3 linked regions of the Ovis aries genome follow. The protein of the gene in region 2 interacts with the protein of the main gene of each other region in a pairwise test. Links are inferred from orthologs where the notes say so. Each region holds a gene or a part of one and is shown on either strand. Other genes may lie near its edges. The genes, in order: TUFM, FUNDC1 and YES1.

The links.
Region 1: the proteins of FUNDC1 (region 2) and TUFM interact in binary tests that used the Homo sapiens proteins (3 or more experiments, as listed by UniProt). The two-hybrid records come from large-scale screens. The link is inferred for Ovis aries from reciprocal best matches to the Homo sapiens genes FUNDC1 and TUFM.
Region 3: the proteins of FUNDC1 (region 2) and YES1 interact in binary tests that used the Homo sapiens proteins (3 or more experiments, as listed by UniProt). The two-hybrid records come from large-scale screens. The link is inferred for Ovis aries from reciprocal best matches to the Homo sapiens genes FUNDC1 and YES1.

Annotation. Positions count from the first base shown.
Region 1 is NC_056077.1:26,479,441-26,483,673, reverse strand, and holds the start of TUFM (elongation factor Tu, mitochondrial), read right to left. Parts: upstream 2,894-4,233; 5' UTR 2,822-2,893; coding exon 2,779-2,821; intron 2,676-2,778; coding exon 2,481-2,675; intron 1,744-2,480; coding exon 1,577-1,743; intron 1,352-1,576; coding exon 1,247-1,351; intron 1,158-1,246; coding exon 993-1,157; intron 861-992; coding exon 728-860; intron 645-727; coding exon 540-644; intron 427-539; coding exon 275-426; intron 185-274; coding exon 65-184; intron 1-64. UniProt on the Homo sapiens protein: GTP hydrolase that promotes the GTP-dependent binding of aminoacyl-tRNA to the A-site of ribosomes during protein biosynthesis. Also plays a role in the regulation of autophagy and innate immunity.
Region 2 is NC_056080.1:43,693,574-43,697,726, reverse strand, and holds the start of FUNDC1 (FUN14 domain-containing protein 1), read left to right. Parts: upstream 1-1,233; 5' UTR 1,234-1,255; coding exon 1,256-1,283; intron 1,284-1,988; coding exon 1,989-2,145; intron 2,146-4,153. UniProt on the Homo sapiens protein: Integral mitochondrial outer-membrane protein that mediates the formation of mitochondria-associated endoplasmic reticulum membranes (MAMs).
Region 3 is NC_056076.1:36,052,512-36,056,149, forward strand, and holds part of YES1 (tyrosine-protein kinase Yes), read right to left. Parts: intron 2,960-3,638; coding exon 2,804-2,959; intron 2,637-2,803; coding exon 2,457-2,636; intron 1-2,456. UniProt on the Homo sapiens protein: Non-receptor protein tyrosine kinase that is involved in the regulation of cell growth and survival, apoptosis, cell-cell adhesion, cytoskeleton remodeling, and differentiation.

The sequences.
Region 1 (4,233 bases), on a different chromosome or scaffold from region 2:
TTGCACCATCAGCCAGGCTTTCTTCACCAAGGAAAAGTCACCCCCACTGCCATACACATCATACCTTCCCTGGAGGTAAGATGATCCGACAGGCCATGTCCCAAGTCAGGGAGAACATGACAGGCATGAAGTGGGATACAAAAGGCTTGTGGCGGCCACCCTCTTCCTTGCTGAGGATGTACACCTGTGAGAGGGAGCAAGAACATGGGTGAAGCCGGGCCTGGCTGGAAGCACTGACCCTCCACAGTGCCTGCCCATCACCTAGAGCCCTCACCTGTGCCTCCACCTTCTGGTGGGGCTGGATGGAACCTGGCTTGGCCATGACCAGGCCACGTCTCAGGTCCTCCCGCTTCAAGCCTCGGACCAGGGCCCCAAGGTTGTCGCCCGCCTCTGCCCTATCCAGGCTCTTGTGGAACATCTCAATGCCTAAGAGAGGGGAGACACGCAGGAGAAGGGTGTGGGGGCAGAGGGAAGGCATGGGGGGGGTCTGTGGGGGGGAGATGTCACCCTAGCCTGGGTCCCAAGGCTGCCTCCTGTACCTGTCACCACAGTGCGAATATTCTTGCTGTGTCCCAGGAATTCACACTCGTCTCCTTTCTTCAAAATGCCACGTTCGAGCGTGCCTGTCACCACTGTGCCCCGGCCTGGGAGGGAACAGGACAGGGCATCAGGGACACCGGATGAAGCGGCAGAGAGGGGAAGGGAATGCAGTGAGCCAGGTCCTCACCAGGGATCGAGTACACTGACTCCACGGGCAGCAGGAAAGGCTTCTCCAGGTCCCGGGTGGGCACTGGGATGTATGTGTCCACAGCATCCAGTAGCTTCTGCACGGACTTCAGGCCTAGCTCAGGGTCACGTTGCTATGAGCGGGAAGTGACAGGACTCTGAAACTTCCATTCTGCTCTTCTTACTTGCCCAGAGCTAGGCCCTGGACTCAGAGCAGAGCTCTGGGTGCCCATCCAGCCCCCTCCCCAGCCTGACCCCGCCTTCACCTCAAGGGCACAGAGGGCAGAACCAACAATGATTGGAGTCTCCTCCCCTTTGTAGCCAAACTCAGTCAGCAGTTCCCTGATCTCCAGCTCCACCAGCTCCACCATCTCAGAGTCCTGCACAGCGTCCGCCTTATTCACATACACCACCACATGCTCGACACCAATCTGCAGGTGAGAAAGACACACAGACGGTGTCCTGAATGGCCCAACACCCGCCCGCCCCCCCTTCCACCCCTTCCCAGGCTCTTGAGTACCTGTCTGGCTAGCAGTAAGTGTTCTCGGGTCTGGGGCATGGGGCCATCATTGGCTGCCACCACCAGGATGCAGCCATCGAGGGGGGCAGTGCCTGTGATCATATTCTGGGGAGAAAGAGGAGAGGAAGTAGTGCAATTCCATGACCTCCTCCACTCCCCAGCCACCTAGCTAAGCACAGACACTTCTTTACCACCTGCTGTGACTGGCCAGGCCCACAGATCCAGGATCTCCAACCCATACATCTCAAATATCTTAACCTCCTCCCCACAATCCTAACGTTTTTCCTGAGGGGGGCAGTTCCCAAGCCCTGTCCCCAGCGGCTCTCTCACCTTAACGTAATCTGCATGACCGGGGCAGTCAGTGTGGGCATAGTGGCGGGCGGCTGTGCTATACTCCACATGAGCCGCATTGATTGTGATACCTCGGGCTCGCTCCTCTGGGGCGTTGTCAATCTCTTCGTACTTCTTAAACTTGGCCCCACCTCCCTCCGCTAAAACTAAGGGAAGGAAGGGAACACACTTTTCAGCAAGGCCCTTTCCACTTTAGAAAAGGACAGTCTAGGAAAAGCAACCTTCCAAGATACCCTCCTTCAACTCCTGGGACTAGTAACTCCAGATCAGAAAGAAAATAGAGCCTCAAGGGCTAGCCCTGTGACTTCTCTAGGCCAACAATTCTGCTTACAGGGCACCTTCCCAGGGCTGGAGGGAGGCCACTGGGGGGGTCCCCCAACTTATGCATCAAAAACTTCGTGTTCACGGGAAATCTGTCTTCTGCATCCTGCAGTGTACTGTCCGCCCAATTTCTGGCGCCTTGTGCCCTGGTAAGTCACTTCAGTCGTGTCCGACTCTGTGCGACCCTATGGACTGTAGCCTGCTAAAACTAAGGGAAGGAAGGGAACACACTTTTCAGCAAGGCCCTTTCCACTTTAGAAAAGGACAGTCTATGGACAGGCTCTTCTGTCCATGAGATTCTCCAGTCAAGAATACTGGAGTAGATTGCCATTCCTTTCTCCAGGGGATCTCCCCGACCCCAGGGATCGAACCGGCCTCTCTTACGCCTAACCTGCATTGGCGAGCGGGGTTTTTACCACTAGCGCCACCTGGGAAGCCACCTGGCGCCTTTGGGGCAGCACCAAACACCTAGGCAGTTCCTCCGCGGGCCCCGCCCCCTTGGCTCCAAGTCCCACCTGCAGAGCAGGCGTTGCTGGAAGCCCCCCAACCCAACCCCACTTACTTTTCGTGATGGCCGCGGTGAGGGTGGTCTTGCCATGGTCTACATGGCCGATGGTACCCACGTTCACATGGGGCTTGTCACGTACATAGGTCTTCTTGGCCTCCACAGCCAGGCCACGGCACAAGACGGGCAATGCCGGGGCCTTCAGCTGCCGCAAAAGACCCTGCAATAGTGGTGCTGGGCCGGCGCCGAGACCTGCCGGGGCAGATGCCTGGAGTCACGGCGCAGGTCTGAGCCCGGCCGCTCCCGACGACCCCCACGTGAACCCGGGGCGCCGTGGCCCTCCCCGCCCCCTCACCGCTGAAAAGGGGCGTCGCGCGCAGCAGGGTAGCGGCCGCCATTGTGGTCGTACTGGCGCCGTAGAGAGTACCGGGCACGGGGGCCGGCGCGTGCAGCGGGGAAAGGGCAATTGCGGATGGAAGTCGCTTCCGGCGGAAGTTAGGACCGAGAGGGCACGTCTGGGCCCCTCTAGCCTCCAATCTCTATGGCCCTGTGAACTTCCGGGCGCGCGACAGAACCCGTCCAGGAAAGTGCTGATGGTGGTAAGGTGGGGAAGCTTTCCACGGCGCCCTCCAACCTCGCGGGCTCAGGAGCCACGCAGTTCTCTCTGGTGGCGCCGGGAGGCGATGTGGAGCATCTCATAGCGCGCCTACGCCCCGGAGGCTCATGGGCGTTGTAGTTCCCAGGGCCGTGAGCTGTACTGGCACGTATCGTGGGAGGGCGAGGCCAGGTCCGGAGGGACGGTCCAGGCCTTCTTGAAGCAGAGGCAGCGGCCCCGGCGTGGATGACTCCGGAACGTCTTGGCCCCGAACCACTTGGAGTCCAGTCCGACCCGCCGCGCGGGTCTGACGACAGATCTGGCGGCCTTGTGTCGCAGCTGGAGGTAGGACCAGCCGCTGCGGCCAGGCTGAGGGAAGACTCCCGAGAACCTGTTGGGGGTGGGTCTCTAGTGTGACCCACCTCTCTTTTAAGCCTTTGTTTTCTTATCTGTGAAGTGGGAATAGTATCTACTTTACAGGAAGATCCTGACATCTAGCTCTGAGAGGAAATGAGCTGGGCAAGAGGCAGAAAAGGGGTCCAAAAGCCTCCGGGTCCTACAGTCTTTGAGACCCTCCCCTGGCTCAAATGCCCTGTGAGCCAGGGGGGACAGAGTTTCCTGTCCACCCCTGTCGCCCCTCAGCAGGCCAGAGTAATTCTCTGGATCGTCGGTCAACCCACCCGGTTTTACAGATGACCAGGTGAGAGACCAACTTCTTGTGCCTTTAAGGGCAGCCTGAGTCTGTCTTGTTCCCGCTGTGTCCCTGGCACCTACCACAGGGCGGGGCACTCAGTGAGTGCTCAATTAATGTCTGTTGACTGAATGAATGAGTGCAAGGATAGTAAATGACCTTTAACTTTCACATCCATCATCTCATCACCGTGGGATGATAATAGCAGCTGCTTAACCTTGATTAATGTTTCCAAAATTCATCAGCTCCTAAGACTCAGCTGATGGTGTCTGTTTCAAATAGATTCCTTAATTCCTCCCTTGGAGATTATGATTCAGTAGTATCTGGGTACAGACAAGAAAACTATATTTATTTTTAATACTCTTCTTAAACTCATAGGAGTTTGGGGGACTCAGAATTAGAGCTTTTCATGGTTCAGGCGTTGTGCTTCATGTTGCTTCTCATTCAGTATCACATTCAATGTTATACTGTGTGATAGGACCCCATTTTACTAGTGAGAAAACTGAGCATCACGGTAATTAAGG
Region 2 (4,153 bases):
ACCAATAACCTAATACCATCCTTCTAGTAGAAATTTTCTATCTTGAGACCATAAAAATTGGCTGGTAGCCTGCGAACGGGTTGGGCTCTCCCTTGAACCGACATGTGTTGTAATCGTGTGTCCCTCTCTAGTAAACTTTATTCATCTCTCATTCAGCCTCTTGGCTGGATATTCTTTTCCAATCCGCACATGGCCCACGACAGTAATCTCACACAAAGTGAAGATTAATATTTCCAGCCAGTCTTAGAATTGTATTTTGAGGTGCACAAGCTGAGGAACTTGAGAGACATCAACCCTTGCATTTAAAGCACCAGGACTTGAAAAGCCAAGTACAATTATGTAAGTTAATATTTTAAGTAATGCAGCCTCTACCAGGATTTCTTATTTTTCTTCATTTCCATATTCTCAGAATAAGAATACTGATAGGGTTGTTCTAAATGTACAGCGAATGCGGGTGCAACGTAAATTCAAAACAAGTTTCGGGGCCAGTTTATGTGAACCTGAGTCAGCCGCTTGGTTTTCAACACGGTTTCTCATTCAACAGAATCCCGTGAGGCTTCTTGGGTGAAGAACTTATCCTCGTTCCTCTGTCAGATTTAAATAACAAAAATGATGTTTAAAAATTATGTCCTCTTGAGTAACTCGTGTCAGGTCATTTTCTGGGCTTCCCTCTTCCTCCCTCAGGTTCCTGGCAGGAAACGCGTGGAGAAGATGAAAAGGTTCCAATTCCTAGCAGCAGCGCGTTAGAAAAATTTTCCATCGGTTAGTGAGCCTTTGACTGCTTGAAAAGTGTGGTTCGAAAGAGGGTTTCTCTTATCTCTTTTTAAAAGCCTCTTTCTGGTACCGTGTTACAAACAGCAAGCTGGTTTTCGTTTAACCACCATGTGACGCCCCCTCCCCTCCAGTGAGGCCCTTTGAAACAAAATATCAAAAGTTAGCTTCTGGAAATTCTCGGGGGGGAGGGGTGGGAAACCAGTGTTGCGGAGGGCAACTGACTACAACTCCCACAAATCCTTGCGGGCTGGTATCCAACCTGTCTCCCCCCTCCCCCCTCCTCGCGCCCCTCTGCCCTGCGCTTGCGCGGAAGGCCCTGCGCTTAGAGGAGGGGGCGGGGACAGGACTGTGCGCCTGGAGGAAAAGGAGGAGGAGATAAAAAAGAGACCATAGACTTCCACCTGGGCCTAGAGCGGTTTTTAAAGTAGGGGCGAGAGGCGGGCGGGTTGGGACCGCCTCAGTACAGGCCGCCGGCGGTATCATGGCGACCCGGAACCCCCCTCCCCAAGGTGAGCGGCCGGGGCCCGAAGTAGTATGTTAGAGGCAGCTCACAGCTCTCGACGTTGCTTCAGGCTCGCCTCTTCCTTCTGTCCCAGGGATCCTGGGGGCTCTGTTTTCTTGAGGCAACCTCTTTGAGCACCTCTTTTAGACTAGACCTCCCCTCCCCCTCTTGGACCCTCGCCCTCAACACGGCCCCACCTGTCTTACCTTCACCTCCCTTCCTATCCGTCTTCTAACGTTTAAGTCTTACTGTTGAAGTCATTTCTTCTTGCTGGGCCTCTAACCGGTTCGGCCAGTGGAAGACCCCCCTTTTCCTCCCACTGATGAAAATGGACCCTGCACTGACCCTGAACTTGAGATTTGGGGGTGACCCTTCATGCTGTGAAACTGACCTACCTACCGAGATTGGGGGAGACCCTGCTGTGAAACTGAGCCACCCCTGCAGAGATTTGGGGTAGGGGTGTAACTGCTCAGTTGTGTAACTGACGTTGCCCCGCCCCCCCAGACCTGTGTCTAGCTCTTTGGGAAGGGGATGCTAGGCCCTTTACTCTCAAGGCCCTAAGTCTCAGAGATTGGGTTTAAGAAACTGTCTACATCCGGGCGTTTTTAGGTGTATGCCAATGTAACAATGAATTTTAACAGATGAAAATGTACACGACATTTTTAACTTTCAGTTGACTGAAAATGTGTTGCTTTCGTTTTCTGCTTTCAAGAATATGAAAGTGATGATGATTCCTACGAAGTGTTGGATTTAACTGAGTATGCCAGAAGACATCACTGGTGGAATCGCGTGTTTGGCCACAGTTCCGGACCTATGGTAGAAAAATACTCGGTAGCCACCCAGATTGTAATGGGTGGAGTGAGTGGCTGGTGAGAACATCCTTTTTTTTTTTTTTTTTTTTTTTGTTAAATTTCACTGGGAGCCTGACTGCTGCCCTTTTGTATCTGGGCCAACTACATACTCAGTCAGTGGTTTTACAGTGTTAATCCCAGAAGAGCTGTACCTTGAGACTTTTCTCGGTGATATGATTAGTGTAATCTACACTCAGATTCTGCTGGGTTTTGGTGATCATCCTCCTCCTCATCCTTCCTTTTTTTTTTTTTTGCATATTTCCCCCCTTCTCAGATTTAGCAGATGTAGTGGATCTGATTCAGTACCAGTGGGTAAAGAGGAAAAAATATAGAAGAGAAGAGTTAATTATATGTAAATAATTTGTACTTGTTCGGTTGAAAACCCTGTGAGAACTCCCACAGTAAAACTAATCTCCAGGGTTATCAGCCCTGTGCAAAGCAGTGTAAAATTCTCAGTAAAAATTACTGATTATGATACAGATGGTTCTGTTAATTTTGTGGGCCAATTTAAATTATGATAATACTTTGAAGAAGGAGAGTTGTAGAACATTGGGTCTTTGTTGGAATTACTCAGTGATAATACTGTGGAGTACATTAAGGGGGAGAGGTTAATAGTATTAACCTCACCAGTTAACATTTCAGGTCACGTGATTATATAATTGCTACTGTAGATCTAATTCTGTTATTCTTAGACTCAAAAGATTAGCCAAATAACAAGGGTCAGAAAGAAGTTTGACCCTTTATTTTGAAAATGTTCATGACCCTAGGGAATTTCTGAAGCTAGTGGGTGTGCTTAACCTGTGAGTAATCATTTTTTCTTCTTAGATTCTAGGTTAAATTCATCCTACATTAATTTAAATATTTACATATTTAAACTCGATAAGTATAAAGTGTTTGTTTTAATTTGTGTTTTATTTGCACCTTGGAACAATGGTGTGCTCTTTTATGCCTTTTTTTTTTTTAACGCCTTTTTAAAATAAATGCCATTTTATGGTAGAGACATTCACTGTGAAGATTCTGTGATGAACAGGTACAGTATTTATTCATGATGTGTACTTATTAGTGCTGCTTATGAAAAAAGCCTGCAGTTGCCTGGTCAGAGCCCTGGTTATTCAGATGATTCTTCTCAAGCTGGTTATACTTTGATGCCCACAATTCAGGGCCTGGCCTTCTACTTAAATAAGCTCACAGTCTGGTGCCTTGGGTGATTGGTTAATGTGAGTCCAGGCCTAGAGCCCCATCTTGAAAGAGACTAAAAAATAATTGAGCAGTAGGATTAAATCATTGTGTGTTTTCTCCTTGTAGGCCAAACTTGGTGAGAAGCCCCATAATTGGAAGAAGTTTGCTTGGAAAGCCTAGAGACAGAACAGAGGACATTAGTATATTGATTGTAGTTTCTCATACCATTCAAGCAAAGGATAGACATGCTTGTGGAGCACAGTCCCCAGGATACTGTTAAGACCTGGTTGCTGCTTGGCTCCTTTGCTCCCTTTTCTGAGTCTTTGTTGCTGTCTCCCCTACTGAGGGACACATATGTTTGGATTATAGCCAGGTGTTGATCCAGGAGCTGTGTAATAGGACTCTAATATTATACAGGTGATTTGTTGCAATGACTTTAGATTCAGCGTAATAAACGTTTGCAATTTTTTTAGAGTATAAAACTGATGTCCTATTGTGGCATATGTTAAGGAGGAATGGTTAATAAGATGTTAGCTAGTTAACAATTCAGACCAATTCAGGACTTGATTGGGAAGCTGAGGAAATTATGTTTAGCTGTAGGTAGTTATATGTTCTTGATCCTAAAAAAAAACTAAAACTGACAGCAGAATGGGTGGCTGCTAGGTGAGATGGGAGGTGTGAAGATCAGCCAGAGGGTCATTAGTGTGATCTGAAAGCAAGGTAGCGATGCCTTTGAGGATGGAAAGAAGACAATCAAATGTTTTAGAGAAACTTGGGTGTATAGAATTGGCCATCATTTGGACCCCAGAGGCGATGAAGAAGGCAGTCTGAGATGAACATGAGGTGA
Region 3 (3,638 bases), on a different chromosome or scaffold from region 2:
TCAATCTTTCCCAGCATCAGGGTCTTTTGAAATGAGCCAGTTCTTCACATCAGGGGGCCAAAGTATTGGAGTTTCAGCTTCAGCATCAGTCCTTCCAATGAATATTCAGGACTGATTTCCTTTAGGATGGACTGATTGGATCTCCTTGCTGTCCAAGGGACTCTCAATAGTCTTCTCCAACACCACAGTTCAAAAGCATCAGTTTTTTAGCGTTCAGCTTTCTTTATAGTCCAACTCTCACATCTGTACATGACTACTGGAAAAACCAAAGCTTTGACTAGATGGACCTTTGTTGGCAAAGTAATGTCTCTGCTTTTTAATATGCTATCTAGGTTGGTCATAATTTTTCTTCCAAGGAGCAAGCGTCTTTTAATTTCATGGCCGCAGTCATCATCTGCAATGATTTTGGAGCCCAAGAAAATAAAGTCTTCTCACTGTTTCCATTGTTTCCCCATCTATTTGCCATGAAGTGATAGGACCGGATGCCATGATCTTAGTTTTCTGAATGCTGAGCTTTAAGCCGACTTTTTCACTCTCCTCTTTCACTTTCATCAAGAGGCTCTTTAGTTCTTCTTCACTTTCTGCCATAAGGGTGATTTCATCTGCATATCTGAGGTTATTGATATTTCTTCCAGCAATCTTGATTCCAGCTTGTGCTTCATCCAGCCTGGCATTTCACATGATGTACTCTGCATATAAGTTAAATAAGCAGGGTGACAATATACAGCCTTGACGTACTCCTTTCCCGATTTGGAACCAGTCTGTTGTTCCATGTCCAGTTCTAACTGCTGCTTCTTGACCTGCATATAGATTTCTCAGAAGGCAGGTCAGGTGGTCTGGTATCCCCATTTCTTGAAGAATTTCCCACAGTTTGTTATGATCCACATGGTCAAAGGCTTTGGCATAGTCAATAAAGCAGAAATAGATGTTTTTCTGGAACTCTCATTTTTTTTTGATCATCCAACAGATGTTGGCAATTTGATCTCTGGTTCCTGTGCCTTTTCTAAAACTAGCTTGAACATCTGGAAATTCACAGTTCACATACTGTTGAAGCCTCGCTTGGAGAATTTTGAGCATTACTTTGCTAGCATGTGAGATGAGTACAATTGTATGGTAGTCTGAACATTCTTTGGCATTGCCTTTCTTTGGGACTGGAATGAAAACTGACCTTTTCCAGTCCTGAGGCCATTGTTGAATTTTCCAAATTTGCTGGCATATTGAGTGCAGCACTTTTACAGCATCATCTTTTAGGATTTGAAATAGCTCAACTGGAATTCCATCACCTCCACTAGCTTTGTTCGTAGTGATGCTTCCTAAAGTCCACTTGACTTTGCATTCCAGGATGTCTGGCTCTAGGTGAGTGATTACACCACTGTGGTTATCTGGGTCATGAAGATCTTTTTTGTATAGTTCTTCTGTGTATTCTTGCCACCTCTTCTTAATATCTTCTGCTTCTGTTATGTCCATACCATTTCTGTCCTTTATTGTGCCCATCTTTGCATGAAATGTTCCCTTGGTATCTCTAATTTTCTCGAAGAGATCTCTATAGTCTTTCCCATTCTATTGTTTTCCTCTATTTCTTTGCAGTGATCACTGAGGAAGGCTTTCTTCTCTCTCCTGCTGTTCTTTGGAACTCTCCTAAGAATGTCAGTTCTTAACCTCTAGCGTCTGTTTCTTTTGTGGGAAATATTTCCCCGTCAATGTGCCGCTTGTAGTTGGTGCTGTCACCACTAGGTGGAGGTGCCTCACTGACCAAGATGGACATCTGGAGCGCGATGACGCCATCAGAGGCTTTCACTATGGATTAGTGACTCATTAATACTGAAAAGAGGAGATAAAATTCAAGAGGGTAAAAAGCACGCCTGTCAGCAAGCATACTTGGTGACTTACTGGTCCCTCTTCCAATGCATCATCAGCAAAGGAGAAAGAGGGAAGAGTGACAAGCTTTCTCCTTTCCCTGCCCTAATCCTGTTACTGAAGATCCCACACCATGGGGTGTGGAGTTTGGAGAAAGACACCCTTCAGTTGGCAGTAGTGTAAAAAAGAAGTTTCTAGGAGTCCTCAGAGCACACTAAAACTCGATAAAACTAATTTCCTTAACTTTACCTGATTTTTTCATTTAGCACTGAAGACACAAATATTGTTCTGATTGCACTGTTTTAAATCAACTAGTGCAAATACTTTTTTTTCCTATTCTACTGCCTCTGGTCAAACGGAATCAAGGACTTTACTTTCAAAATAAATTCAGTGCCTTATTTTCCTTTTCAACTCTGTACTATCCTTCAGAATAACTGGGACTAATTACTAAGTATTCTGTTAACATATCAGATTTTCTCTTTTCATATGTCTACATAAAAATCTCCAATTAGAAAACACAATAAAAATCTGTATGCATAAAGAGAGAAATGACAAAATTTATTAACACGAATATCCCAGAGATACTGATGTACACATACCTTTTGACATAAATTCAGTGACAATGTAAATTGGCTCTTCAGAAACAACAGCATATAGTGGAACAAGTTTATCATGTCTTAGTTTTTTCATTATTTGAGCCTCTTGAAGAAAAGCTTCTGGCATCATTGTACCTGGCTTCAGTGTTTTGATTGCTACTTTTGTGGTTCCATTCCACGTTCCTAGAGAAACAACCCACATTTCACTATTTTAACCTATATATATTTTAAGAGATTTACAACAAACTTCAATGAGCAGCAGTAAGCTCACATATTTCAACATATCATAAATGATGGCCTTTTAATCTATGGGCAAACAATGAAAGAAAACAAAAGTTCAGGCTCCTTACCCATCCATACTTCACCAAAACATCCTTGTCCTAGTTTAACCTCTAGTCGCAAAGATTCTCGTGGGATTTCCCAAGCATCTTTTGCTAGACCTTGAGTCTGGGGTTTCACAGTTGGACACACAGTTGTTAACTTATGGCATAAACCATCGGCATGTTCTAGATAAATGAATAAACTATACTGTAAATGAATAATTTACAAAAACTGAGGTATATATACTTGTACCAGTGTTTTTAAAAGTTTATATCATAGGAAATAAAAACATGATGTTCTATCAGTTTTACTACAAAAGCACAAACACAAAAATGAAATTGCATAAAAGAAAACATACAAGGGAAACATTTTATTAAATACATTTTAAAGTTATTATTATTGAATACTTATATCCCAGCTATCATGCCAATTCAGCACTTCACAAATTCATATAAATAAAGGAATCTTAGAAAACTTAAGCAACTTTCTCAAGGCCACCCAGTAAACATGTGATGGAGATGAGTTTTAAACCCTATATCAGACTGCCTCCAAAGTTCTGCTTTTGATCACTGTACTTTATTTCTTCCCCAAAGAGAATGCTACCATTAACAGCTATTTCTAGAATCCACAAGTGTTAAGAAGCACAATAAAATCAAGCAAAAACTTCTTTAAAGGACTGACTTTCAAATAAAGGGAGACATAAAAACAGGAAACTCCAAATTGACAGTGGTTTGACTGACTTGTGAATCCTGTTTACACACATTGCGTTCCACTCAACAAGTAACCGCACACATCCACATTCTAACAAGTGCAATTACAACTGATGCTACTGCTGGTAACGTGCTGAGTCAATGTCAAGACCGA